3 linked regions of the Arabidopsis thaliana genome follow. The protein of the gene in region 3 interacts with the protein of the main gene of each other region in a pairwise test. Each region holds a gene or a part of one and is shown on either strand. Other genes may lie near its edges.

Region 1 (11,210 bases), on a different chromosome or scaffold from region 3:
ACAAACACACACTCACATATATAGTTGCACAAATTTGGCATATACTAAGTCGAGCAAGACAAGTCTGGTTCTAGAATTTAGTTGTGAAACGGGTGCTTTCCATTACGTGGTTGGCGTTATCGAGTTCAAAAGCTTCACGTCTATGAAATTCTTTGATCTGCATCACAGTGCATGGCAATGAAAAAAATTCTGAATAAACAAAATAATGCGAAAAAATGCAAATCATTTATTTCGCGATTCTTTCTTACATCAATTACCTCATCAAGCGGCACATCTTTGAACTCTGGAAGAACTTGACGCTGAGTGAATTCAATGTATGAAGCTGGGATTGTTTCAGTTACTCCATCTGCAAATGTTACCGGAAGCCTTTCCGAGATCGATGAAACTTGAAATAGTAGACCATCTTGACTCACTGCAATATGTATGTCCACATTCATTAATCATTTCTATTGAACAACATATTTAAATAGAAACGTTTCAAGAAAGTAACTCATGATGGGAATATAAGTATTAAAAAACCTTTGAGGATTTCTCCGTCACTGTTGAGTTTGAATCCCTTTTCCTCAAGACGCTGTTTGACGAATTTGATGTCACTGAAACGATGTTTGAATCGATGAACCGCAAAAGCAAGATGATTCATTGTGTAGCCGTGGATAAGCGTCCATGCCGCAAATTCGCTTTCTCTGCATCATTCATACATACAATTCCAAATAATTAGCTCTAACCATTAAAATAGTTATAAAATAAAAAAATTTAAAAACAAAAACAAAACTCAATTCTTACTTCTTCTTCTTTTTTTATAAACATTTCAGAAAAAAATAGTGTTCATCTATCATTTTTTTTTCTGTTTAAGTGCTGATCTATCAATTTCTCAAAGCTTTGTTAGAAACTACCATTTTTTTGTACTTGTTCATCAAAACTTGTCCTTAATACCATCGAACCTATCACCCAAAATCTTATTTAATAAATAGTTAGTTACTAAATATGTACTAGTAGAGTAATACAGTATAGTTCGTGTAAGAGTATTCATTTTTATTTATTTAAAATAAATTAATGTATTTACAATTAGCTAGCTGTTAGATTTTGATAGAATGAATTACTTTTCTGAAATTTATCAAGTAAAGATATATGACTATTAATTGAAAGTTAATATATATACTTGGCAAGCTGCTTGAAGTCGGTCCATGTAGGCTTCTCCCATATTAAAGACCCCAAAGTACTAGAAAGAACCGCTTGCTTGCCACCTTCTTGTTTCAAATACTTCCTTATTATCCCCTAATCAATATATAGGACCAACAAAAGCGAAATTAGATATGTTAAAAACTCATAATGAAATTTTTGTGTCTGCGATCAACATATATACCTGTGATTCAGGGCTTAGTTCGTCCACAAGAACCTCAGCTATAACAAGTCGCGGCAAAGGGCCGTTGCCTAGACCGTGACCATCATTAGGAACGTGAACATCAGGTGGAGAAAACCAAAGAACTCGTAGTTTCTTCTTGGGAAAATCAAGTCCACCACCAATTTTATATCCATAAGCCATGAAAAAACTCGACAAGGAGTCTATTCCATAACCATCGACCTAAACTCATAACCCCAAAGAAAAAAAAGTAAAAACAAAATAATAATTTAAACAATTAGTTTCACCAAATCTTGAAGAGTAAAATTATTACCTTTAGTGTCCTGAAAGTGAAGTGGTCGTAGCAGATCTTTTCGTTGTCCAACGACTGAACCAGTTCCCATATTGTCTTCGCCGTCGGGTTCTTCCTTAGGTACGTTTTCAATATATTCTCGAACACATTCCGAAGAAATATTTCACTTTCTCCCTGTTAGATGCAGATTGTGTATTATCGTAACAAAAGATATTTCTCCTTCAAAAAAAATATAAATTTGAGAAAGAACCTTGAACGATGAACTGTGAGGCAAGTCGAAGGAACCCATGTTTGAGTTGTTTCTGAGAAATGAGCCGTTTGCTTTGTTGTTCTTATTTATTCTTGCTTATACTTATAAATAAAGGTTGGTGCATACCCCAAAAAAAAGGAGAGAGAAGGAGTCACTTAATTATTAGTATTTTAGTTTTTTTTTCTTGACGCATAGTCGCTCCGCTCACGATGATTAGCTGCGCAGGTAAGGACTAAATTTATATAAAATCGTTCAGCAAACGAATCTTTGTCTGATTCTATATTTATTTATATCAGTACTCAGTAAGAAAAACCAAGTGAAATGTTTCTCTTACTCCCTCTTATAGTTAGATCATGGATTATCGTGATTTTTGTTTTTGTAAATCATAATTAGAGAAAAAATTTAATTATGAAACGTTTGGCAAGTCAAGAGAACCGTTGCGGGACGATGCTTTAAGTGTACGAGAGAAACACAGCTTTGTTTGGTTTTTCTAATATCTTATCGTAAATTCGTATTTTATACAGCTAGAAAGAGTGGGAAAAAAAGCCAAGGATCAATGATTGCTAACGACAAGAATATAATTGGACTTTTCCAGAGCTAGTGGGGGGTAAAAACTATATTAAATGAAATAAATAATTTTTGGTATGTAACTATTTTGATCACTAATATAAAATGATACAAAAAGTTGATCCTTAAACCAACTTTGGAAATTGCTAAGCTACTAATTAGTAGACCATCTTCAATGATGTATCTTAAATGTATCTTAGACTAATATCTTAAAATTAAATTCTGAAAAATAAATCAAAACAAATTAAAAATTAAAGACTTGCTTCTTAGCTAAGAGGTTTTTATGAGTGAAAAAACAGTTACATGTCATGTTTCAAAATTTTATTGTAAATAATTGTTAAGATATTTGGTTAAGATCGAGGAATGCGATGGTCTAAAACACATAATACAACTGTTAGACTAATTTAGATCCAAACTATAATTATAAACGAATAATAGCTAAATGAAAAGGTTAAGTTCTCTAAGATATATTAACTACGTAAAAACACTTAAGGTTAACAACACAAAAAAAAACTAACAAAAGACAATGTGATGTCAGTTTCTCTACGTGAAACACCAAAATCCAATAATGCAAAAAGAAGAAGACACTAAGGTAAATGAAAGATTGGGCACGTTGGTCTTCAACCCCAAGAGGTGTTACGAGTCACCAAAATCAAGTGTCACGTTACTATCAAAAGATATTACATGCAAAAACACCACAAATACCACACCCCACCATGACACTTTGTTTTCCATTATTCGTCGGTAACGGGTAATATTAAGTTATACCGTCACTTCACAACACAAGAACAGAAATATCTCACACACAAATTGTCCAAATAAGATACAAAACATTTTAATAGTACGTACACATACTTGACATATTGAGCGGAACAAAACAAGCTGGTTCTATATTTACGCTGTGAAACGGGTGCTTTCCATTATGTGGTAGGCGCTAGCTTGCTCCAAGCCCTCGCGTCTATGAAACTCTTTGATCTGCATTACAACGGAAATATATAAAAATGTCTAATTATAAAAGAATTCGATTAATGTGAATTGCTTCTTACCTCATCACACGGCATATCTTTGAACTGTGGAAGAACTAGACGTTCAACGAACTCAATGTATGAAGCCGGGACGATTTGAGTTACTCCGTCTGCAAATTCAACCACAAGTTTCTCCGACATAGCCGACACTTGTAACAGTAGACTGTCTTCACTCACTGAAATATTTTTCCATACAACTTAAATAATGGTTATAGAATAGAACCAATCTAAATGAAAGATGTCATGTGAAGAATAAGTAAAGAAAACCTTTGAGGACTCCTCCATCCTTGTTGAGTTCGAAACCGTTTTCTTCAAAATACTCTTTGACGCATTTGATGTCGCTGAAACGGTGTTTAAGACGATGAACCGCGAAAGCAAGATGGTTCATTGTGTAGCCGTAGACAAGCGTCCATGCGGCAAATTCGCTTTCTCTTCATCATTTATAAAAATTTACAAAACTCAAAAATTAAATTAGCTAACCATCAAAGATACTGTGTGATTATTGATTATAAACTTAGAACATATACTTGGCAAGTTGATTGAAATCGGTGGATGTTGGCTTCTCCCAAATTAAAGACCCCAAAGTACTTGAAAGAACAGCTTGCTTACCACCTTCCGGTTTCAAATACTTCCTTATTATCTCCTAGTTAACCAGAAATTAGGACCAACAAAAAAGTTATTATGTATTATTAAAGACTCATTATAACAACATTATGTTTGTGATCACTAATACCTGTGACTCAGGGCTTAGTTCCTCCACAAGAAGCTCAGCTATAACAAGTCTTGGCAAAGGGCCATTGCCAATACCGTAACCATTATCGGGGAAGTGAACATCCGGAGGAGAAAGCCAGAGAACTTGTACTTTCTTCTTTGGAAAATCAAGTCTGCCTCCAACTTTATATCCATAATCCATGAAAAAACTCGCCAGGGAATCAATTCCATAACCATCGACCTAAACCCATACACCCCCAAAGCAAAAAAGAAAAAATCAATTTATACAATCAGGCCGGCCCCAAGTATTTCGGGCCTAAAGAAAAATTAAAAAATTTGAGCCCACTAACAAATACACTGGTAAAATAGAAAAAACAGGTCTCAAAAATTGCTGACATAAAAGTATAAAATTAAAACCATTTAGCGCTTATACTTTTAATTGATGCCGTTAATGTTAGAAGATCTCAAGGATTACAAGATGAGCTTGAAGAAAAGTATATATTTGCAAAGGCATCAATTAAAAGTATAAAACCACTTTTTTAATTGTTAAATAGGTAGATTTACTATAATCGTATTTGCAAAGAACTTGCTAATCAATATATTTGACCAATTTGTTAAGGTTTTAGATCCTCCTGCACACAATTTCACCAAATTTTTGAAGAGTAAATTCATACCTTAAATGTCCTGAAAAAGAAGTGGTCGTAAGAGATCTTTTCGTTGTCCACCGACTTAACTAGTTCCCATATCGTCTTCGCCATCGGGTTCTTCCTCAAATACGTTTTCAGTATACTTTCAAATACATTCTGGAGAAAGGTTTCACTTCCTCCCTGATAACAACATAATTAGTGTGTTATAGTGATGAGTAATTCATTTGATTTTTATAAATATAAACTGAGAAAAAAACCTTGAACGATGAAGCGTAAGGCAAGTCAAGAGAACCCATGTGTAGTAGGAATATCTTTGAGATCTTTATGAGAAACACAACTTTTGCTTGATTCTTCTCTTCTTTATCTTAAATTCGTAATTTATAATGCCAAGGGTCACAGTGTCAATGCTTCACTATGATAACTTGCGTACAAGGATTAATTGTTTTTTATTGAGCTAGTGGGGAAATCATTCTTATCAAATAATTGAGCGAACTACTTGCATCGAGAATTTTGGAAACATTATCATATCTTCATTTTGGTCAAATTTGTATCATAACGATAGTTGTCTTTCATTTTCTTGTTTCTTGCCTTTTTGCCATCTTGGTCAACTTTGGTGTTTAAATATTAGAAAATTTTGATAACTTTCAACTATTTACATTTTTCAACTAAAACCACCGAGTATTTTCCCTATCTACATGGTAGATTGTATTTTGATTATTACTCCAGTTTCGTTTCCCTCTTATCTATCTTTGGTTTAATGATAGATCCAACCAAATATGTTCCTTATTTTTGTTTCTCACTTGTGTGCTTCATAAAACTCTTATCTTCTCATTGGGTTTCCAGATGATAATAACAGTAAATGGGTGTTTGGTTATGTCCGACTAGATCAGTCAAAAGATGGCTATCATACAAACTATCATAAACTTAACAAATTTCTCAAAAGTGTAGCATTATTACGGAATTAAGATTTTAAGCACGTATTATTAATCGTGATGCCTTCAAAATTAGTGGGATAAATTAAATATTTTTGGTAGTATATGTTGATGATACCTTATTAAAGAAAATCATTCTTCAAAAAATTACTTTAGTACTATGAATTATGAATAATAAAACTGTAGTCTAACATTTTTCTGCGTACAAACAAAACATTCTTAGACTTGTGTTGGTTTGGCTTCCTTATAGAATATAATAGACGTCGTTTTATAATAAAAGAAAAAATAATTTATAATTTGCTTAAGAAAAACAAAGTTAATGAGAACAAGGACTCAAAAGAAGATAACATTAAGAAGAGAGGTTTTAAATGAAAAAGAAAATTCTCTATTGGTGTCACTCTACTCAACAATGGTCAATAGAGAGTTAACGTAATTCAAATACACAATTTTATGCATGATCCTAATATGTATAAAAATAATACATTGTTTTTCCCTCAATGAATAGGAATATACACAATTCCTTCTTCAAATTGGTATTGGAAGTAAACTCCTATAAAAAAAAATCCATAAACAAAGAATGTATGCATTCGCCATTAAGAAATATAAACTATACATAATTCTCAATAATCTAAGGTATTTTAGACTGTAACAAGAAAAGGTCAAACACACATACATACGTACGCCCTGATAACATCGTAATCTTCTCTTCGTCGGAAGCTTCTTTCAGCAAATCTCTTCGAGGACTCTTACACTCATGACATCCCCTCCTTCTCCCTTCGCTATTTCCCCTGCAGCCGCCGTAGCAGCAGATTTGCCTAATGACCCTGACCTGACCATCGTTGGTTTCTTGAAGTCACCAGATTCATTACCACTCTATCTCTTAATCGGAATGATCGTTTACACCGTCTCTATTCCACTACTGCAACTGCAGGTTTAGGCAGAAAACAAAACCCTTGAAGAAGGAGATTTTGAAGTCTCTCCCGAAATTAACATTCTCGCAGGAATGTGGTGTGAGGTTATGTAATAGTAGATGTGTGATATGTCTTGAGGATTACATGGTTAGTGACATTGTGAGAGTGTTGCCACATTGTGGACATCAGTTCCACGCTTTTTGCATTGACAAGTGGTTTCAGTTATGCTCCACTTGCCCGTCATGTCGCGGCATCCCAGTTATTTATCACCCTCTTTTAAATGTATTGATCCAGAAATAGTTGATTATTTAACTCTGTACATACATCTATGGAAACACCATAAACTTTTAACCTATTAACCACTTTTATTGCAAACATGCATCACATGATTAGGTATAATATAATTATTCCCCACATGTACTTTATTTTAAATTGCGTCAAAGTTCAAAAGTGGACACTACACATGTCAATAAACAAACTCCAATTCGAGGAAAAACCTCCAAAGTGCAAACCAAAATATCATAAGACCCAAGTTTTGGGGGAAAAAAGCCAAACCAACGAATAGATGTAAGAGAGCATTCTACGGCTCACGAGACCATTTGTATAAGTAAGAGTTTTGTTATATACATCCCGCAAGCCAAACCGCCATCAGGAAAACTTCCATATCAACACTTAGCTGAAGCAGCCCTGCATTCACATTTCCTTTATCACACCTCTATTATATCAACATATGAAACTCACAAGACAGAGACAGTGAAGCAAAGTGACCAAACCTTGATAACAATGGCCTCGACTTCACATTCACTTTACTCAAACTGATTTGTTTCACTGTGGTTGTCACCTGTGTGCCATTGCTTTTAAACAGCTCTTCAGCCAAGTTTTTCAGACCCTGAAACAGATTGGACGAAATATTGTTATCAGCAAGAGAAGAAGTTTCCATTTATTTTGTTAGAATAGTGCGAACAATCACGTTAAATACAAGCAAACGTGACTTCTTAAATAAATAAAACAGAAAAGACACCTTAGTTTCAACATCTGCAAGCAAATTACGAGCCCTCTGGTTTACAGGAAGCTGAAGCTGTTCCTGTAAGATTAAGTTAATTGCTTTGTAAGATAAACAACTATACAATATATTTGCACTGCAAAAGTTATAGATATTAAAGAAAAAGGGATTAGAACACTTTTAGGTTTTAACACCAAAAATAGACATAGTCATAACTATGGAGAGAAATAGGGAGATCAATTCGATTTTACATATCCCATATCTGAATTACCATTTCAGGCAGCTTTGTGCTCTTGCCTCCAAAATAGTTATACAAGTTTAGCATGAAAACATTTGTGACATCCTGCCACCAGAAACAGAATTAGAATCAGTACTGAGTTACCAATTGTTGGTGATTCTCTGGGTAATGATGCCTGCTTAATAGAACATAAAAGATGAATGTACCTGCTTGTATTCCAGCGTGTCCAACTTCCCATCCTGCAAAACAAGGTTAAATGCCAAAATAATTAGGAGATATACTAAAAGGAGTGAAATGCCATAGAGAAGGATTCTGATTCCTTATCTAATCTTAAAGACTGAATGATTCACAGCTGCAATCGCCTTAATCATGACAGATGCAGTAAAGCACATGCCAATTGAGTGTGAAAGAGAAGAAAACTATTGATATTCAGCATTGCTTATATATGGCATAACAAAATAAAACTAAGACTCACCAGTCCAGTAATCAAATTATGCAATGATTCCAAATCCATCTCAAGTGAGCTGATATTCTCACGAGCAGAAATAACCTGTGTAGCATAACCACAACCACATCACGTTCCAAAACTGTTCAAGACACTACAGATGCATAACAATGAAAGCCAATAGCTCTAATCATAGGAACTAAAGAGAAGGTAAACATCATCATTATCATACCTGGCTATTGATTTCCTTCGAGAGATCGATCTGCTTTTCTACCTTATCATCCAGATTCTGAATCCTTTGTGTTAAATGCCTTTTCGCAGCCTGACAATCAACCAATTAAGATCCAATTTTAACCCTGCAGCTTAATATATCACCAGAAACACCATACACAAAGCAACAAAAAAAACTCACCGCAAGAGTCTCAGAAACTTGCTCCAGATTCTTTGTCAAGTTAGCCACTGCAGCAGCCATGTTGGCTTTTGTCACATACATAAGGTCAGTGAATGAGAGTCCCTAATCAGTGAACAATCACAAACAGTTTTTAGTTCCCTTACAACACTGAAATCTCTTTTCAACAAAACAGCAGAATTCACAAGAGAAGAGATTGAAAACTTAGTAATCCCACCTTCCACCACATATAACCATATCCGAGAGCTCCCAATGCCGCAGCAGGAACAGCAAGGGCTTGTAGGTTTGCTGAAAAAACAAGAGAGTCTGATGAACACACACACACACAGAGACACACTTAGCAAAACTATTTGAGTAGAAATACAAATCCCTAATCTTCACATACCACCAGAAACTCCATTCATGACCGTTATGTGTTGCTGCGAAGCTAGCTGTCGAATCTCCATAGCCAACCGGCGAACCTTCTCACCAATATTGCAAAAGATATCAATACCATCCCTCACCAATATTCCTATATCCAATGAATATGAGTTTATGTACCTGTGCAGCTATAGCATCAGAAACATCAGAATCTCCCTCAGACCCTTCTCCAGATTTCTCCATTCCCTTCACCAAACTCTATCGAAAGCACAAATCAATTAGTCAAAAATAAAAAAATCAAGGAGAGAAACAAAAAAAAAAATGCATAGAATCAAAAAAGTACCTGCAATTCACCCAACAAATCCGACAATTTTCCATTCTTCATCATGATCGTACCAGTGTAACCTTGATTCCATCAAATCGAAAAACGTATCAGGAGGATATACAGATCCCAATTAGCAGTAAGTAAACGAGCGAGTTAGATTGAGCAGAGAAATCAAAGTGAAGTACCTGCTCCGGCTAAGAGAAAGATCCTGGATAAGCCAACTCCGGCCTGCATCGCCATAGCTCCGACTATTTTTACACCGCCGCCGACGACTTGTCGAGCTTTGTCTCAAAAATCGAATTTAATTTAGGTATTAAGAAGACGAACTCATGGTTTATTTTTCTTATTGCATTTTTTTTTTAAACGTGCTAGTGCAATTTACTTGGAAACGACGTCGTCTCGAAACTCAATTTCAACCGCCTCAACTCGCGGCGAGAAAAGCCACATCGCCGGTGATTGACTTGAACATTACGTAATTTTAGTGTCGCCACGTGGCAAATTCCTTTTTTGTTTTTAACAGACGTAATCATATTGATAATCTTGTTAAATATTTTTTTTAGTAATCATAATTTAATAAAGTTTATCTCTTTTAAGTTTATGTAATCAAATAAATGTCGGAATTTTTTTCTGCTAAGAAACAAGTTAAATGCAATGGTTTAGAATTGGATTGTAACAGACCAAAAATGGATCATAAATACCTGAAAAAGTCTAATCTCAAATAATAATTTCTATGTTAACATAAACAAAAATGGTTTAATGTGGTTATGGGAGCTTAAGAGTGTGACCATCTATCCATTTTATTGCTCATAATCCTTCTTTTCTTGTTAGCCTTGTTCTTTGCAGCTAACTTGAGTTTCTTCTTTGCATTTCTCTCAGGATGTATCACCGCCATTAGCTTCTCCTCTCGTTTCCTCTTCTCTTTTTTCGCTTCCTTACTCTTTTTGATTTCGCCTTAAACTTGCACAAACATTTGACTGCCTAAGCTCTTGTCTCTTATACTATTAGATTGTATATAGTATTCCGGTTTGATTAGATTGGTTTAGCTATTTAGAGATTGTACATTGGTTTAGATGGTTTAGAGTAATTGTATATATACTCTCATTGTAACACATTTATTCTTCGAGGAAATAGAAAATCATTCTACAATTCTCTTTGTTCATGATTTCTAATATGGTATCAGAGCATTTCCTCACACAAATCTGGTGATTTTCACCATCGTTTCTTCAATTTCTTCTTAATCACACCTTTTCTGATCTTCTTTCTTCTCCGATTGTCTTTCCGCGACCTTGGATTTGAAGAAAAATGGTGAAGAAGGGAGGAAAAATGAAGACTCGCGGTTCTACACCTGATGATGAAGGTTCAGCTGTCAGATCTGTTCGTGAAGCAGCAATCCTTGAAGATCAGAAGCTCACGACACTGAAACAACAGCTAGCTCAACGATCGGACGTTTATGGTGGAAATGGGTTTAAGGTTTCTGACTCTGGTGAAAACCCACTGCTCCTCCATTCCTCCGATCATCCAGGTTTATCTATTGTAGCTCATATTCTGGATGGTAGTAACTATAACAGTTGGTCGATTGCAATGAGAATTAGCTTAGATGCGAAAAACAAGCTGGGTTTTGTTGATGGTTCTTTGTTGCGACCCTCTGTTGATGATTCTACTTTTCGGATCTGGAGTAGATGCAACAGTATGGTGAAGTCATGGATTCTTAATGTTGTGAACAAGGAGATTTATG
Region 2 (10,976 bases), on a different chromosome or scaffold from region 3:
AGAAAACCATGTATCAAGTACATCAGGATCTCGAGTGAGTTCAAACTTCTTCCCCAAAAATTTCTGAGCAGCCTCTTCTCGAGCATCGTCCTCAGTTCTAGCAACAACCCAATGGTCACTGTATGCACCAACCTCCTTGAGCTGATCCTCCTCTAGAGTGGCATACCATGCTGGTATTCTGTGTCCCCACCAAAGCTGTCTTGAAATACACCAGTCACGTATGTTCTCTAGCCATCTGTAAGGTAAAGATTGTTAATAGATGGTGTAATGACATCTTAAACCGCCATCGCAGCTTATCCATACAGCTGTGCTGTAAGAGCTTCTATAGATGGGGTAGATTAAGAAACCATTATAGAGTAAAAGATAAATGAAAGAAACCTTCTCCATTCTGCTGTGTACTGCTTTGGTACAAACTCGAGTTTCTTGTTTTCATCAGTGATAGCAACATCAAGAGCCTCCTTTCCAATCATGCTGCAGTTAACGTACCATTGAGGCTTTATCATAGGCTCAATAACATCATTAGTTCTTGAGCAAAGTCCAAGCCTCATTTCATTGTTTTTGGCACCTCTGTACAGCCCCTGAATAATATATTGACAAAACAGTTAAAATCTACAAGACACTTACAAGCAACTACCCATAGTGTAACAAAAATTCTCAAACCAACAATCAAAGAAAAATTATATATGTTATGTGAAGAGTTAGAGAAAGTTACCTGCTTCTGCAGAGCTTCAACAACTGCCTCACGAGCTGCAAAGCGTGGCATCCCTGCGAAGTCAGACCCACCATTTGTGTTGATTTTTCCATCATCTGTGAATATATTTATAAATTCCAGCTTGTGGCGCTTTCCAACCTCACAGTCATTGGGATCATGGGCAGGAGTAATCTACAAAATAAGAATTAAGTAACTTTGACACAAGAAACACAACTAATAGGGGCAGAAACCCAGCATCAAATATATAAGGTAGAGGTATACCTTAACACAACCAGTACCAAAATTTGGATCAACAAGTATTCCATCACAGATAATAGGTAACTTCCGCCCATTAAATGGGTGCACAGCAAATTTCCCATGAAGATGCTTGTATCTTGCATCATCAGGATGAATAGCAATAGCAGTATCCCCAAGCATCGTTTCCACCCTGGTAGTGGCAACAATTACCTCTCCCAAGCCTCCCTCCAGAGGGTAAGCAAACGAGGTAAGAAGACCAAATTCTACTGGCTTCTCATAGCCAGGAACTTTTAGTAGCGTTTTTTCTTTAATGTCGATATACTCAACCTACAGATATTAGACACTCCACATAAACAGGATGCCCTCCAACAATCTTAGTCTAACAGTTGCTGCTGACTTACCTCAACATCAGATATGGCTGTTCTCAAAATACAATCCCAATTAACAAGCCGAATATCCCTGCAGAAGCCATGGTATACCTTCAGTCAAATGTTCTTTCTTACAACAAGATAACTGAAAAAGGTAAAATGGTCCTATAATCCTAATTTCGGTATATTACTGTTTCCATCTACAGGAATTCTATAGCTTGCATCAAAGAACAAAGTCAGACTTAAACATACCTATATATAAGCCCTTCTTTGTATAACCGTACAAAGGCCTCAGTGACAGCTTTTGATCTTTGCTCGTCCATTGTAAAACACTATAAATTTACAGGCCGAAACACATCCGTAAGATGGATAGCCCAGGGACACAAGTGAAGATAAAAAATATCATTTACATATATGTTCACCTAGTGGCGAAATAAATAAAACAGCCAATTTTCTATAACATTTATCCAAGAAAGGTCAAATTACTGGATATTACCTCACGAGACCAGTCGAGAGAAGCTCCTAGTCGCCGTAGCTGTGTTAGAATTGTACCGCCGTACTGGTTCTTCCACTTCCACACCTTTTCCATGATCACAAGCAAAACAAGAATTTTTGTATAATGAAAAAAGGAAACTATTCATCAACATATTTTAAATTTTCAACTCACTTCCTTTACGAATTCTTCACGGCCAACATCATGCCTAGTCATGCCTCTATCACGCATGATCTTTTTCTCGACCACCACCTAGAATGTACATCCAAGTAAAAAAAAAATATACAATGTGTATAAGATAAAGCTACAAGCCTGTAGCCCAACGAGGATTCACTCTATAGGCTGAAACTTCAACTAATATGGGAGATGAGATTGGGGCTCACCTGTGTAGCTATACCAGCATGGTCAACCCCGGGTACCCACAAAGCATTATACCCAGACATTCTCTTCCAACGAATAATTGTATCCTGCATCAACAAGTATTAAGCCGTTGATCATCGGGAGGAACAATAGACAGCTATAGCACCAAACAATATGCTAATGAAACCTCAATTGCAGATGTAAGCGCATGGCCAATATGCAAGGCTCCAGTCACATTTGGAGGAGGAAGAACCTGCAGAATCAATCAAAGGATTAAAGAAACTTTAAAAATAGTATTAATAATTTCAGAAGCTCAAGATTTTCTCAACTCAATTTGGTTTTCACAAATTAAGTATTCGAGAAGACAATAAAAAGAAGGTCGAATCCAGAACGAGCATGAATTTAAGAATCGGATTAGGCCTTACAATTACAAAAGGTGGCTTGGAACTCTTAGCATCCGCCTTAAAAAGGTCAGATTTCTCCCACCAAGCATACCATCTGACCCAATTACAGAATAACAGAGATTATCTAGAGGAACTTCTTGGGATAAATGTCAAAGAAAAAGATCTACACACTTACGATTTCTCCACGGTAGCAGGGCTGTATTGTTTGGCCATCTGTGAAGAAAGCCTTTTCCTCTCTCCAAGAGGAGTTTCAGGGTCCACAAAATCCTCAGGATTCTCTTCTGACGCATCCCGTTTGGAACTCTTCTTTGCGCTCTTTTTAGGGACATTAGTTCCATCTTTGGCCTGTTTTGCCTACACGAGAAGCACACCATGATAAATATTTCAAGTTACAGGGAAAATTAAGGATTTGGCTGGCACATTACACATACATATGAAGCAGGAACCCGAAATGAATAATTGGAGTTCCTCAGAGCTTACCTTCAGTTCAGCCAGCCTCTCTTTCTCCAAAGCTTTTTGCTTCTTCAACTCCTTTTCTTTAGCCTATGAATAAATTACAATTGAATTCGAACAAAATATAATGAAATTAATGAGATTGAAAAAATCAAAATTGAGTCAATATTTTACTTAAAACTAACTCCCACCACACAAAGAAAAATGAAATGTAAGGCGTATTCAAAAGTATACAACTCTAAAACAACACCAAAAGAAACACAAACTATGATTATACGAATTTGTGCCAAGTACTCAAACTATTAAATGTAGAACACTTCTTCATTCTGATATAGTGAAGACGGTTTCTCAAACTTTTCTATCTTAAAAATAACAATACGATCTCATCAGTTCCATTTTCCAAATGGGTAATCCATAGTTATCACTATCCAATCTCTATTAGCTAGTCCCATGATTGAACAATAAACTCAATCACACTCGTCTATGAGATTCTAGATATCAAAATTGTTAAAATCAAGCTCAAAGAGAACAGCACAACCACGTTGAATCGACTCCAGAAAACGTTTCTGAGAAAAATGGGGAAAAAAATCACAAGTCAAACCTTCTCTTCCTTCTTCTTTTTCCGCTCAAGCTCCTCCTCTGTCAGGATCTTCTTCTCTGATTCCGACTACGAAATTCAGAAAACAAACATTCAATTCTCAGACTTAAACAAATAGCAGCAGAATTTCGAAATCCGGTGGGTAATCCTAACGGAGAAACAAACAATCGGTGATTACAAAATCGTACCATTGTTCTGGAACCGTGAAACGAACGAACTAGCTGATTCGTAAGCGTCGGAGATAAGAAGCTGGAGCGAGAATGAGTAGCTGAACAACAAGATACAAATAACGGCTTGGCTCTTCTTAGGAAGAGTAGTGACATAGACAAAAAACCTGCTAGGGCTAATTGAAATGCTCCTTTTTTTTAACACTATACAAAAAACATTTTTAATTTTAAAAATTAGAAATTAAACCGGAAAAAATTAGAGATTTGGGTTACAAGTTGGGTATTTCGTTTTAAGCCCAGTGGGCTTGGAATTACGACGGTCAATACTCAATATATATTTCAAGCTGTTCTCGAATCAACGAGTGTGTGATTTCTTATCAAGATACGTAATATAATATCTATCGGAGAGATGTATAAAAAAAGGTTGAGAAAGAAGCCACAACTACATTCAACTACGTACTTCAGATCAACTGTCAACAAAAATTTCCTTCACGTCACAACCAGAGACATGGTTTTGTTTGGTTATTACATTGACCTTCTCACACTGTCTAATACCAGAGAGATGACATTGATGGAGAAGAAGGGATGAAAATAGGAGTTTTTGTGGTGTGAGTGGCTCAGCTAATGATCATCTTGTTGAAGAATTCAGCTTGCTCAGGGAAGAATTCCAAGAGCTCGTCTTTGGTTACCCACACAAAATCCTCGCAGTTGCTTATGTCGTATTTCGATGCTGCTACTACACTGCATTTGAAGAAGAACCTCTACACAACAACAAAATTCAGTTTAGAAATCTTGAGCTTCTGAAATTACTAATACTAGTAAAACCCCGTTAACGTTCGTTCTTGCCTTGTAAGATGGCAAATCAGGCATTTCTTCTGTAGGTTGTATGGCCATGTGAGCCATTGGAGCATTTCCAACAAAGTATGTGTGAGTGAGGTCTCCTACGACTGACTTCAAAGCAGATTCCGCGCACTGCAAATACCGAATTTACATATTAACAATAAGCACATGAATGAAATTTTATGGTCTTGTGTGTTGAAATAGAGGCATCAAATCAAACAAACACCTTGCGAAGAGTTGGCTCAGAATCATAGACTTTCTCTGGGAAGTGCCAAACAGGTTTGTCACTAGTAGCTCCAAATGGCTTGCCGAATATGAGAAGATACAACTTTTTGTCTAGGGCTCTATATAATGACCTATAATAGCAGCATTTTCCCAAAAGTAACTATCAATCATCAACCGAAGAGAAATACAACAGGCCAGGAAGCTTTAAGAGGTGCCAACAACTTACTTCCTATCGTTATTCTTGTCAGCCTCTGTAATTCTAGGAGCAGGTACATAGTCCATTTGGTATTCACCCTTGGCTCTGTATTCACGTATCATAAGATTAACCAAAGACGAAATGAAATTTTCATAGAAGCTTCACCGCACTTGGAGAAAAATGAAACTGACCTATACAGAACCTTCACTATATATCTATGAGCATGTAACACTTCTAATATAGTTCACTTCAGGCAAGGTAATTCTGCTGAAGAATTGAGCAACAATAACTCACGGAGCTACTCGGAAAAACTCCCAATCTAACATTCTTTGCTATTGTCATAATAACTAACAAGGATGACACAAAGTTGAATGCAGAAGAAACCTTCGAGCAGATTATATGCTTGGACACATGATGATATCAAAAGAAGATTGAGAAAAACAGAAACTTTTACCTGTTCTTAGCAATGTCTAAGAACTCATCGGGATATCTACGACGAAACTGCTGTTGCCAATTGAATCTGCCATAGAGCAACAAAATCAAGACCAAAACGTGATCAAAATCAAAATGAACCAGAGAGTAAAATCAAAATTTCGGTGCTCAATGACTCAAATCTTATTCATTCCGCAACATAAAAAAGCAGTCTTTGAATCACACAACTATACTTTTCCCCCCATTTTCTCTCAAAATCTCACCATTCCTCAACCAAAGAAAAAACAGAACACAAGCAAAGCGATGAGAGAGCTTACTTGAACTCCTGGAAAGCGTAAACGGCAGGATCCGGTTTGGGTATCACAACGCGCAATCTCTCGAAAAGCACCGAAGCTACGATCTTATCAGAGCTCGTGCAAAACCCTCGCCTGCTCTCCAAGAGAGGCTTAGCTAGTAGCCGCAAAGATGATCTCGGCATTTCTCAATCTCACAACCCAGAAACGAAATCGAGTTTGGTTAGAGAGTGAACGCCGGCGCTTGAGCCTGAGAGTGAGAGGGTTTTTCCAAATCCCCTTTCAGGTAAAACAATTTCGACGGAATCGAAAAATTATTGGTTTACATAACCAGAATCCGGTTTGATCTAATTAAAATTGGATTACATAACCAAACCAGAATCCGGTTTGCTATGCATTCGGATAGATGAAAATTTGGTTCGTTCATGTAATTACGGTGTTGACAAAAAAAGTAATAGATATTTAGATTACCTTTAAGAAAATTAACTACACATATATTTCATCGGAAAATAAATATTTAAGATACTGGTATAAAATCTGTGTTATACATAGCTGAATTTTTTTATTTTATTTTTGGGCAAAGTTACATAGCTGAATCTGATGAAGAAATTGTAACATTATTTCGACTCATACATCAAAACATAAAACTTTAGTTTATCACTTAATACATACACTTTACTGAACCATAAACTTATCAATCTACGTAAAGTCTTGGGAAAACAACGCGACATGTCTCGGACTATGCAGAAGAATGGTCCGTGACAACACTCTCTTATCGATTCTTTTTAAATCGAAGCATCTGTGTTTTTGGTTAAAGTATGTTGTGTGGACTTGACTTTTTTTTTGTGTGTGTGGTCCGAATAGATTATTAATAAAGCAAAAACAAAGAAGAAGCAATGGGTCCAAATAATAGCAAGAGACAAAATCTCCGACCGAGGCCAAACCTGTGCTTCAATCATCACCGTTTGATTCACCATGATTACCGATCGGCGATCGTGAACCGTCCAATGAACAACACATGCAAAGACAAATATAGCACAGCTTTGGTAATAACATAATTCTCCTAATCTGTCTATATATATAATTAACAAGAGGATTCAATTAAGTGATAGCAGTTTGTTTATCCGTCATAATTCTTTTGGTTGATGGTATTATAAAATCTTACCTAAAATCTACCCCCACTAAATGGTTCTGTTTTTTGTCGTAAATGGTTCTTGTTTAAAATAATCTCAGGATTCTCCAACATGAGATATTAAAAATCTACTCGGACCCATGAAAAAAATATAAAGAGGATTCGATCATGGATCAGTCATATGGTTTGAAATTTTGAAAATTATACATACTAAATATTGGATATCGTATTGGTAACGTTTTCAATGCTACGTATGAAAATAAATAATTTATGGTTTTACAAAATCAACTATTTCTAAATACCAACTAACATCTATAACGTTTCATTAAAAATTTGAGACAAGTAGTTCGATGATGACCAATGTGGTTAGCTTACAATTGGTAGTCTTGTTGAATAAACATATAGTTGGAAACTATTAACAAACAAAAAAAAACTTACTACATGATCGAATACAAAAGTTGTTATTTGATCCATAAAACTTGCGAAACTTTTGGATATTATATCTAAATCACAACTCCGATACGTGTGTAATTATTTTCCAAAATATTAAATATCAACTCATTATTTCTCAATTCTAGGGACAACCGTCAAGAAAACCAAGTAAATGCAAATTTGCAATCATAAAATTTGACCAATATATATATTTGGGACCATTCAAACTCGAATTTAAAGAAGAGACCCACAGATGATACGGTTGCAATCTTTCTAAATTTCCAAATGGGTCCCTCCGGCATGCCTACACTCGACCCCACTGAAAATCCGTATGCCGGCTATATGCATTACAATCGAGAAAAAGCATTCTTACTCGGTGACAAGTAATCTATTTTTTTGTCCCATTAATACAAACGCAAAGTTATTTTCTCTTTTTGTTGTCAACAAATGCTAAGTAAGTCATACTGTGTACTTGTTCGATCCAATTAACTTCAAGAATCTTAGGTAAGTAATGATAATCTCTAAATTTCTTATCAAGTTTTAAGTCGTGTTTAGTAATTATGCTTGCGTTGTGCTATATTATCTCGTCCTTAGAAATAACAAAAATTGAAATAAAAGGTAAGTAATGATGGAGTAAACGTGACAGGATATGACATGACCCCACGATGGAGAAGAAATGAAAGTATATAAGTCTAAGGAAAAAAGTACCTAATAATAGAAGAACAGGTTGTTCACCAAATCAGAAAGCAAATTTTGCTTTGAAGAATAATACATACAGAGATAAAGCTGCAAATTTGAAATCCTCTCTTATGTGTATCTCTGAATTCATTTATTTTGTCAACATGCATGACTTTGATAACCCATCTTACCAAACCGGTGCATCTCGTCGTTGTATTTATGTTAAACGTTTCACATCAATACAGATTACATAGATTCTATGTAGAATTTTGTATTTTAAGCAGAATATGGTTGAATATAGGATTACATAGTTTCGCATTTCACTTATCTAAATTGTAACTATAAATCATTATATATAGCACTGATAGGTTTAAACGACATTTGTTTTTACGTTTTATGATAGTTAAACAACTAAACCCGTTTTTGTCCTAATCATGTTTTTCAAGTGTATATATATATATATTCACTATCAGCTAATTCTAAGTGGAAGGACAATATTGCAATTGGCGATAAGTAGGTTACGCATATTAAACCCATCATATTCATATATATGATTGAAAATTTATGATTCATGTAGTAGATATACAAACCACAAAATAAACAAAAATTCATATATTTGTTGTACTAATATACTTATATACATAACACGACTAATTAATCAAGTGATATATCATGCATCTACCACAGTACCACTTTCTCTCTCTTCCATGAGTAACATGCATGAGCAGCATTAGAACAAAGACATCATGATGATAGTTTCATCGCCTTTAGCCATTATTCAGTCCCCCATTACCTAACCCCACTCAAATTTCAAAACCTAGTTTACATTTGTTCCATTTTTGTTTTACACATTGGTCAATATCAATTCATTTCTCATTGACATATAGTTTGTATTTATACACCTCATCATATATGTATTGTAAGAAAAAGTATTAACACTCTTGTTGAATAACAAATTAATTTACAACACGAATGAGAGATTCGTTAATCAGACTGCATTTCAATATCGTTCACAATTTAAGTTGTTGTTTACCTTAAATTATTGTAATGGTGGAGTCACAAATCATATTGAAAACTTATTTTCTTAGTAAGAAATGCAGTTAAAAATGGTCATTTCACCATGTCACAAATAACCACTAAAATTGATAGTATTATTTTGTATGAAATAAATCCTGATGGGCAGAGACTGTCCAACCATTAGTGTAATTATCTTTTCTTTATAGTTGACTGTATTGAGTACTGATTTTTCTCCTTCCAAATTTCTTCTCTGCTTTAACTTGTTTTCCCCTTTTTCTTTTCCATTTTCATGCTTTATTTGGATTAATTTCAATTTATTTTAACTTTTTACTCACAACCCACCAAGATATATAGGCAGCCACATGGTCTCACCTTAATTCAACACATTCACAGTCAATCCACAAATCATTAAAAAAAATATGAGTGAGCTTTCATACTCTCTCCCCTCTTGGGATCTCCATAACCTTGGATCACTCTTCAACCAAAACTTCAATCTAGGTATAGACAACAACGATTTTATATTACAGTTCTTTTATGTATATTTATAGAATGATTTATGTTAAGTTTGCTGGTGGATTCGTGCAAACAAAGAAAAAGTATATTTTCGTTGTAAGATGAATGTATTTAATTTGTGCTAGTAATTCAAGAAAATTTCATTAAAGATATATATATATATATATATATATATATACTTTTTTTTTTCTATACACACACATAATGTGAGGAATTTGGCCATGCAATGTACTTGTAGATGCATGGGGGCTCATTGATGAATCGCCGGAGAATATATTCTGTTCACCGGAGATGGAAATCGGGGACGTTTCCACCGGATACCTTGAAGACGCACTCATTGAATTCAGTGGGAGAAGCAAACGGAGACGTCTCTCGTTCAACGGCGCCGAGGACAAACCAGATAACGATTTAGACCATTCTCAGGTTTATATAATTACTACTCTGTTTTTTGGTTTGTCATTTACGTAATTATTCCGTATTTTTCATTTGTTATGAAACTGATTTAGTTGATCGCGGAATATAATAATGCAGAATCATTGGGGTCTGTCTGAGAATTATAGTTGCACGAGTAGTCAGTTTGCAGGTGAGACCTACTTCTTTATTATTATCACCCATATTTTTTTGAGGCATATTTATTATTTAATACTATTAACATATAAATGATCAATACATTAGTGCTGTTTTAATATAAATAGTAAGTTAATTGAATAATCTTTGTGAATAATTTTCTTATATTTAAACAGACGAATCTCCAAATTCTTCCATCAATATATGTTCTGAAGAAAAATCCTCAATTTCGTCGAGAAACTCTTTCGAACCATCCTCGTCCACGTCAAGTAAGCATATTGTATTTTCTTCCGAAGTAGTGAATTATATGGGACTTTTTCGTTTTTGTTTATGCGTAATTGTCCACAGTAGCTATAATTAAACAAATCAATCATGAAATTTCACTTTTATTCATTTGCGTTTTGCGTTTATAAAATATTTAATATTAATAAAATTATGTGTTTCTAATCACATGCAAAGCATTTTAAACACAAAGTCCGATCCCGAATAAACACTGACGTAACACTTGTGCATTACAGAAAAGAATGACTATGACGAGAAGAAGAGGGTGGTGTATCCATTTGGAGTGGTAAAACCAGGTGGTCGAGAAGAAGATATAACTCTAAATGACATTAATAAGAGGATTTTAATGCCATCGGCTAGGCCGGTTCGACATCCGGTTGGAGACTTTGCATGTCGTCCGTGTGTCTCTGCAGATGGACCGGGTCTATCAGGCAAAGCCGTGGTTGCATTCACGAAGATACAAACATTAGGGAGGGGCACAATTACTATTATAAGAACTAAGGGATGATATATCATATATGTAATTAATATTGGCTATTAGAGGGGGGTCGTTATAATATGTACTGGAGATGTTTCA
Region 3 (6,159 bases):
GAAGAAAACCTAGTGGAAGGTTTAAAGTTGTAAACTTTCCGACCAAATAAACAAAATCGTTTTCCAGCTTCTTCCGTCGCCACTAAACCCTGAGGCTAAACCTAGACGAGTCAAAGTGTAAAATCGTTAAACCCTAAGAGGGAGTGAGAGAGAGAAGAATGAAGTACAACAACGAGAAGAAGAAAGGAGGAAGCTTTAAGAGAGGAGGTAAAAAGGGTTCGAATGAAAGGGATCCATTTTTTGAGGAAGAGCCGAAGAAACGGAGAAAAGTCAGTTACGATGACGACGATATCGAGTCTGTGGACTCTGATGCGGAAGAGAACGGATTTACTGGCGGAGATGAAGATGGGAGAAGAGTTGATGGGGAAGTGGAGGATGAAGATGAGTTTGCTGATGAGACGGCGGGAGAGAAGCGGAAGAGATTGGCGGAGGAGATGCTGAATAGAAGGAGGGAAGCGATGAGGAGAGAGCGTGAGGAAGCGGATAATGATGATGATGATGATGAAGATGACGATGAGACTATTAAGAAGAGTTTGATGCAGAAGCAGCAGGAGGATAGTGGTAGGATTCGAAGACTTATTGCATCGAGGTAAGGAAGAAATTTAGTACCTCAATGTATTCAAATTAGATAGTTTAGGTTTGAGATTGTTGGTAATTTAGGGTTTGTGGGTAGTTAGTGTTTTAGGGAGCTGGTTTAATTGTGAAGAAACTTAGTGATTTTGTACATTTCTTAGGTCAATTTGATATCTTTGAAGATTGGTTGATAGTAGTATTGATTAAAGTTTTTCAATGATTCAGGGTTCAGGAGCCACTAAGTACTGATGGGTTTAGTGTTATTGTCAAGCACCGACGATCTGTTGTGTCGGTAGCTTTATCGGATGACGATTCTAGAGGATTTTCAGCTTCAAAAGATGGTACTATTATGCATTGGGATGTATCTTCTGGTAAAACTGACAAATACATATGGCCAAGTGATGAAATTCTCAAGTCGCATGGGATGAAATTGAGGGAGCCTCGTAACAAAAATCACAGTAGAGAATCTCTTGCTTTAGCTGTTAGCTCTGATGGTCGTTATTTGGCCACTGGAGGAGTTGACCGTCATGTTCATATTTGGGATGTTCGTACCCGAGAGCATGTCCAGGTAATGATAATAAATTTGGTTTTTGTTTAGTGTTTTTTTTATTTGTTCTTCATCAAGTCTTGCGCTCAGGTATTACAATTATGTGTCTACAGGCCTTTCCAGGTCACCGGAACACAGTTTCTTGTCTATGTTTCAGATACGGAACTTCAGAACTCTATTCTGGTTCATTTGATAGAACTGTGAAGGTGTGGAACGTAGAAGATAAAGCATTTATAACTGAAAATCATGGACACCAGGGTGAAATTCTAGCCATTGATGCACTGAGGAAGGAGCGTGCACTTACGGTTGGAAGAGATAGAACCATGCTGTATCATAAGGTAATAGTTCTATCCTCCATGTAAACACTGTTGGAAGATATCATCATAAGGTTTCTATTATTATTCTGTATTTGTAAGTCTTGTTATATGATTATAGGTGCCTGAGAGCACCCGTATGATCTATCGAGCTCCTGCATCGTCTCTTGAGAGCTGCTGTTTCATCAGTGATAATGAGTACCTGTCTGGTTCGGATAATGGAACTGTTGCTCTTTGGGGCATGTTAAAAAAGAAACCGGTGTTCGTTTTCAAGAATGCACATCAAGATATACCTGATGGGATTACCACCAATGGAATCTTAGGTGAAACCTAATTTAGATCCTCCCCATTTCATCTCTGTTGCAGTTGGATCTTGACATTGCAGTATATAGTTATAAAACACTTTTGTTTCGTTGCAGCTACTGATGCTCTGAAATATCTAATTCTTATTTATTTGCTTAACAGAAAACGGTGATCATGAACCAGTCAACAATAACTGTTCAGCAAATTCTTGGGTCAATGCAGTTGCTACTAGTAGAGGCAGTGATCTTGCTGCATCTGGAGCTGGTAATGGTTTTGTGCGTTTGTGGGCTGTTGAAACTAATGCAATTCGACCTTTGTACGAGCTTCCACTGGTAAATTTTCGTTCACTAGTTATATTCCTTAGTGTTGTCTGATGAATCTGTTGTTTGTGACTGTGATTAATGCATTTCACTTCACCAAGTAATAATCCTTGCAATGCCTTGTTTGATCTTACAGACTGGATTTGTCAACTCTTTGGCTTTTGCAAAATCGGGTAAATTTCTGATTGCCGGTGTTGGACAGGTATGTGATCATCTCTTATGTTCTCTTCCCTCTTCTTTTTTTCTATCTTTGTCCTCTTGTCTGTGTGATTGCTAATCTCAAAACTGATCGTGTTTTGTGAAATCGACATGGCAGGAAACTCGATTTGGAAGATGGGGATGCTTAAAATCTGCGCAAAATGGTGTCGCAATACATCCCTTAAGACTGGCATAAGTATTTCATTGGGATAAATGAAGCGTTGTTATGGATAGTTTTGAGTTGCTAAAAAGCCAAAGATCTAATCGCAAGTCATATAGGGATTACATTTCCTTGTAGCTCTTGAAGTTTTTGCTCCCTTTTTTGTTTGTTCCTTGTACCATTTTTTCTTAATACGAGAGATAAGAACTTATCATTTTGAGGCTCTGAAGAATCAAAGAGGATAACAGTTCCCAATTTTTTCATTCTCTCAGTAAAGCTTTTTGTTTCGTTTTCCCAAATGTTGAAGATAAGTATATGAAAAGGCAAATTATTAAACCAAGATCCATAGTGAACACAGACTTGATCGTAATTTATCCGGCGAAAAGAAGATTGCTTTTCCAAACAAAAAAGACAAGAGCCTACTACTTGAATGAATTCTCTTAAGTCAAGCTTAGAATCCCTAGAGACAATTTCTTGATGTCTCTTGGTCTCGTTGCTGCTCCATTCTGACTAATAGCTTCAACTGGATAAGAAAAACCAGCAGAGAATTGATAAGAAAGTTCCAAATATCCAAAACATACATAGAATACCACAAAATGAAGACTTGAAACAAGAAAAATGCAAACAGCATTGAAAGAATAACTAAACAAGAACATATCCTGCAAAAAAAACGAAAATGATACATAATAATCCAAAGACTCGAGCCTATATGCAGAGAAGTTCCAGAGGAAGGTCATGCTTCCAAAAGTTTCCATTTTAACATTGCAAACACTAACTCATGTACAAGTGAGTGATTCTCATTCACTTATTTGCTAATATGCATATAACTCGATCTCAAACTAACCAATAAGTATCATACTACCTGAAATCTAGCTAACCATCAGTTTTGAGATATTTTCTACAACAAAGTAAACCCAAGAACACAGCTTTGACATCAGAGATCAATACTACCAACCATCAATCCTAAACCCTGAATCATTCCATTGTTCGAAAAACAAACTGTTAAATCTCATATCCAAATCAGAAACAAGAGAAAACGATAAGCATAAGACAAAAATCTCTAACCTTTATTGACTCATCTCAACTTCTCTTTATTTCAGACACTTTCTACAACAAAGTAAACCCAAGACTCAGTAAACTACTAACCATCATTCTTAAATCCTGAATCATTCCATTGTTCGAAACACAAGCATTCAAAGCTCATCTCCAAAGCAAAAGCAAGAGATAAGACAAAATCTCTAACCTTTTAAACGAAATCATCTCAACTTCTCTTTACTTGAACTCTTCTTAGCTGCATCCATAACCTTCTCAAGATACCCTTCAATAGGCGGTGTAAGAGTAGCCATACCTCGATTCGCCGGAAACGGTGTCAAATCAGGCTCTAACGCCGCCTTCTTCAGATTCTCCGGCAATGCCTCAATAGCAGATTTCTTCAAATTCAAAAGCGCAGTTTCAGCTGCACGACGCTCTCTATGCTCTCTCATCAACACTTTACTATACTCCTTCGCAAGTCTCTCTCCATCTTCTTCCGTAAGCTTATACTTAGGCAATTCCTCAGCTTCAAAAATCCCTAACGAAATGTAATCCAAACCTGGCGTCCCAATTCGCATCGGCTCATCGGTGACTCCCATTGAAGCAGCTCCTCCTTTCTTCTGGATCTCCATATCTCGTTGCTTCTCTTTACTAATCAAACCTAGCTTCTCACGTTGCGCCTCACGCTCGATCTCTTGGGGGGTCAAGTAGCGAACAGGACAAGGAGCGTTTAAGCATTGCTCGTAGAGTTTCTGCTTCTCATCGGAAATTCTACCTTTTCCTTTAACTGCTTCCTCTCCTTCAACAGGTGCTCCGCCGCCGCCACCACCTTTCTTGATGGAGAGTTTGTTACGCTTCAATGGCTGACCTGTCTTCAGCTTTGCTTTTCCTTTAGGAGTTCCACTTGCGGAGCATCTTTGGATAAGATGGTAACTCAGTGATTCGATGATCGCTTTTGGTTTCGTAACTCGAATCATGCTTCTGATTCACCTGAGTTTCTGATTGCTTTCGTCTGAAAATGTTGCTTGAGTACAGAGATTAGGGTTTTCGACTCTCGACTGTGGAAGAAGAACACTGAACTAACGACGTCGTTTTACATCAAGTTAAATAAATCACGATGTCACAAAACTGTAAATTCAGCTTAAACCGAGGGTTTTCTTGTCTTTTAGAAAACTCCAATTTGGTTTCTTGGTTCGGTTTTCCATTTCTTTGTATACCGAATGAGAACCGACGTTAATTTTGAATTGATTTGGTTCAATTCGATTTAATTTTTGGTTATTGTTTCGGCTTACCACCACATAACCGAAGCTTCTTTCTGAAAACAAATTCGATTTTACTTTTCCAGAACTGAGAAGAAATTTGCTGAATTCAGTCTCATGCAACTTGTTAAATTTCTCACTATTAACAACGAATTTGGCTTTGGAAACTGTAACCTCCAAGTACCAAATACAAGTAAAATACAAAGAACGTGGTGAAAAGTAAAGAAGATCCAACACAGACAAAAAGCAATTTGTCCACTAAGATCTCTCGAGAGCCAAAAAAAAGTTGAGAAATTTGCAGTCAGTATGGGCTGCTCTGTTGTTGTCTCTTCTGGGCCTTGAAAGGATCTTCTTCTTCCCCTCACCTTCTTACTATAAACCCAGAATCATCCTCTGTTTCTTTTGTTCCTCAAATCATTTTTTTCCTCTCGATTGTGAGATCAATTATTAATATTCATCTGGAGAATTATCGTCTCTTTTCTCCATTGCTATGGCTCTCTCAACTACTCCTTCTCAGGTTTTCATTTTTACCATTCTAAACCTTTTTGGTTCCTGAGATTAAGTTTCGGATTTAATGAAAGTTTGGTTTTTGATTTTAGATGTCCGTTGCACTTCCAACTAGAATTGATGGGTCGAGCCGATCTATGATTAAGGTGAGCAAAAACGATCTAGATCACTAGATTACCGATCTTTGTCGTTGAGATGATTACATGGTCCTCAAAGTTTTTGTCTTTTGGTTTTCTTATTGTGTTGTTTAGTTCTGATGTAGACTTGTTGTGAATTTGGTATTGAAAGGTATAGTCTTTACAAGTAGAAGATTACAAAAAACTGGATTTTGCAACTCTTGAGCAATGATATTGAATCTCAATTATTTTGTACCTCAGGTTCAAAGTATAAGCTTCACTGATAAGTCATGGGGTCCTCCTCTGCTGAGACTAGATTCGAAATCTAGAAGCTTAGGTGTGAAAAAAAGGTCCACAATATGCATGTCACTTCAGCAATCAAGCAAATCCAAAGTCTTGGTTACTCCTCTAGAACTTGAAGATCCCAAAGAGACTCCCTTAAACTTGTTTAGGCCTAAGGAGCCTTATACTGCAACTATTGTTTCGGTTGAGAGAATTGTTGGTCCACAAGCACCTGGAGAGACTTGCCACATTGTTATTGATCATGATGGTAATGTTCCTTACTGGGAAGGACAAAGCTATGGAGTCATTCCTCCTGTAAGTGATTTTAACTCTATTGCTCATAACGCATTGCCTTTTGCTGATAAATGATTTGGTCTCTCAGATTTGGTAACATATCTGATTATATGTGCTCTATTCTTGACTCGTAGGGTGAGAATCCCAAGAAACCTGGTGCACCTCATAACGTTCGCCTTTATTCGATTGCATCAACACGGTATGGAGATTCTTTTGATGGCAAAACAGCTAGTCTATGTGTCCGTCGAGCTATT

The links.
Region 1: the proteins of AT4G05400 (region 3) and AT1G27020 interact in a two-hybrid assay, tested with the Arabidopsis thaliana proteins (one large-scale study listed by BioGRID).
Region 2: the proteins of AT4G05400 (region 3) and DECOY interact in a two-hybrid assay, tested with the Arabidopsis thaliana proteins (one large-scale study listed by BioGRID).

What each region holds. Positions count from the first base shown.
Region 1 is NC_003070.9:9,372,573-9,383,782, reverse strand, and holds AT1G27020 (plant/protein), read right to left. Parts: upstream 5,380-11,210; 5' UTR 5,149-5,379; coding exon 5,110-5,148; intron 5,033-5,109; coding exon 4,880-5,032; intron 4,447-4,879; coding exon 4,228-4,446; intron 4,138-4,227; coding exon 4,022-4,137; intron 3,926-4,021; coding exon 3,762-3,925; intron 3,671-3,761; coding exon 3,516-3,670; intron 3,445-3,515; coding exon 3,364-3,444; 3' UTR 2,993-3,363; downstream 1-2,992. Other genes in the region: AT1G27030 (uncharacterized protein), read right to left, coding at 71-157, 258-412, 520-683, 1,160-1,275, 1,364-1,582, 1,674-1,826, 1,903-1,941; AT1G27008 (uncharacterized protein), read left to right, coding at 6,539-6,715, 6,885-6,995; AT1G27000 (GRIP/coiled-coil protein, putative (DUF1664)), read right to left, coding at 7,361-7,382, 7,469-7,584, 7,717-7,779, 7,970-8,041, 8,143-8,175, 8,412-8,486, 8,614-8,703, 8,794-8,895 and 5 more.
Region 2 is NC_003070.9:5,010,539-5,021,514, forward strand, and holds DECOY (decoy), read right to left. Parts: upstream 6,171-10,976; 5' UTR 5,964-6,170; coding exon 5,803-5,963; intron 5,574-5,802; coding exon 5,508-5,573; intron 5,159-5,507; coding exon 5,084-5,158; intron 4,989-5,083; coding exon 4,859-4,988; intron 4,765-4,858; coding exon 4,639-4,764; intron 4,554-4,638; coding exon 4,410-4,553; 3' UTR 4,137-4,409; downstream 1-4,136. Other genes in the region: TWN2 (valyl-tRNA synthetase / valine-tRNA ligase (VALRS)), read right to left, coding at 1-235, 379-578, 713-883, 974-1,276, 1,351-1,408, 1,570-1,649, 1,814-1,897, 1,985-2,062 and 7 more; AT1G14630 (XRI1-like protein), read left to right, coding at 9,457-9,535, 9,789-9,973, 10,082-10,133, 10,294-10,386, 10,636-10,907.
Region 3 is NC_003075.7:2,739,521-2,745,679, reverse strand, and holds AT4G05400 (copper ion binding protein), read right to left. Parts: upstream 4,521-6,159; 5' UTR 4,425-4,520; coding exon 3,672-4,424; 3' UTR 3,659-3,671; intron 3,523-3,658; 3' UTR 3,481-3,522; intron 3,335-3,480; exon of another isoform or gene 2,939-3,334; 3' UTR 2,731-2,938; downstream 1-2,730. Other genes in the region: YAO (Transducin/WD40 repeat-like superfamily protein), read left to right, coding at 159-589, 799-1,141, 1,234-1,458, 1,556-1,757, 1,900-2,069, 2,194-2,259, 2,374-2,451; RFNR1 (root FNR 1), read left to right, coding at 5,197-5,223, 5,306-5,359, 5,591-5,926, 6,040-6,159.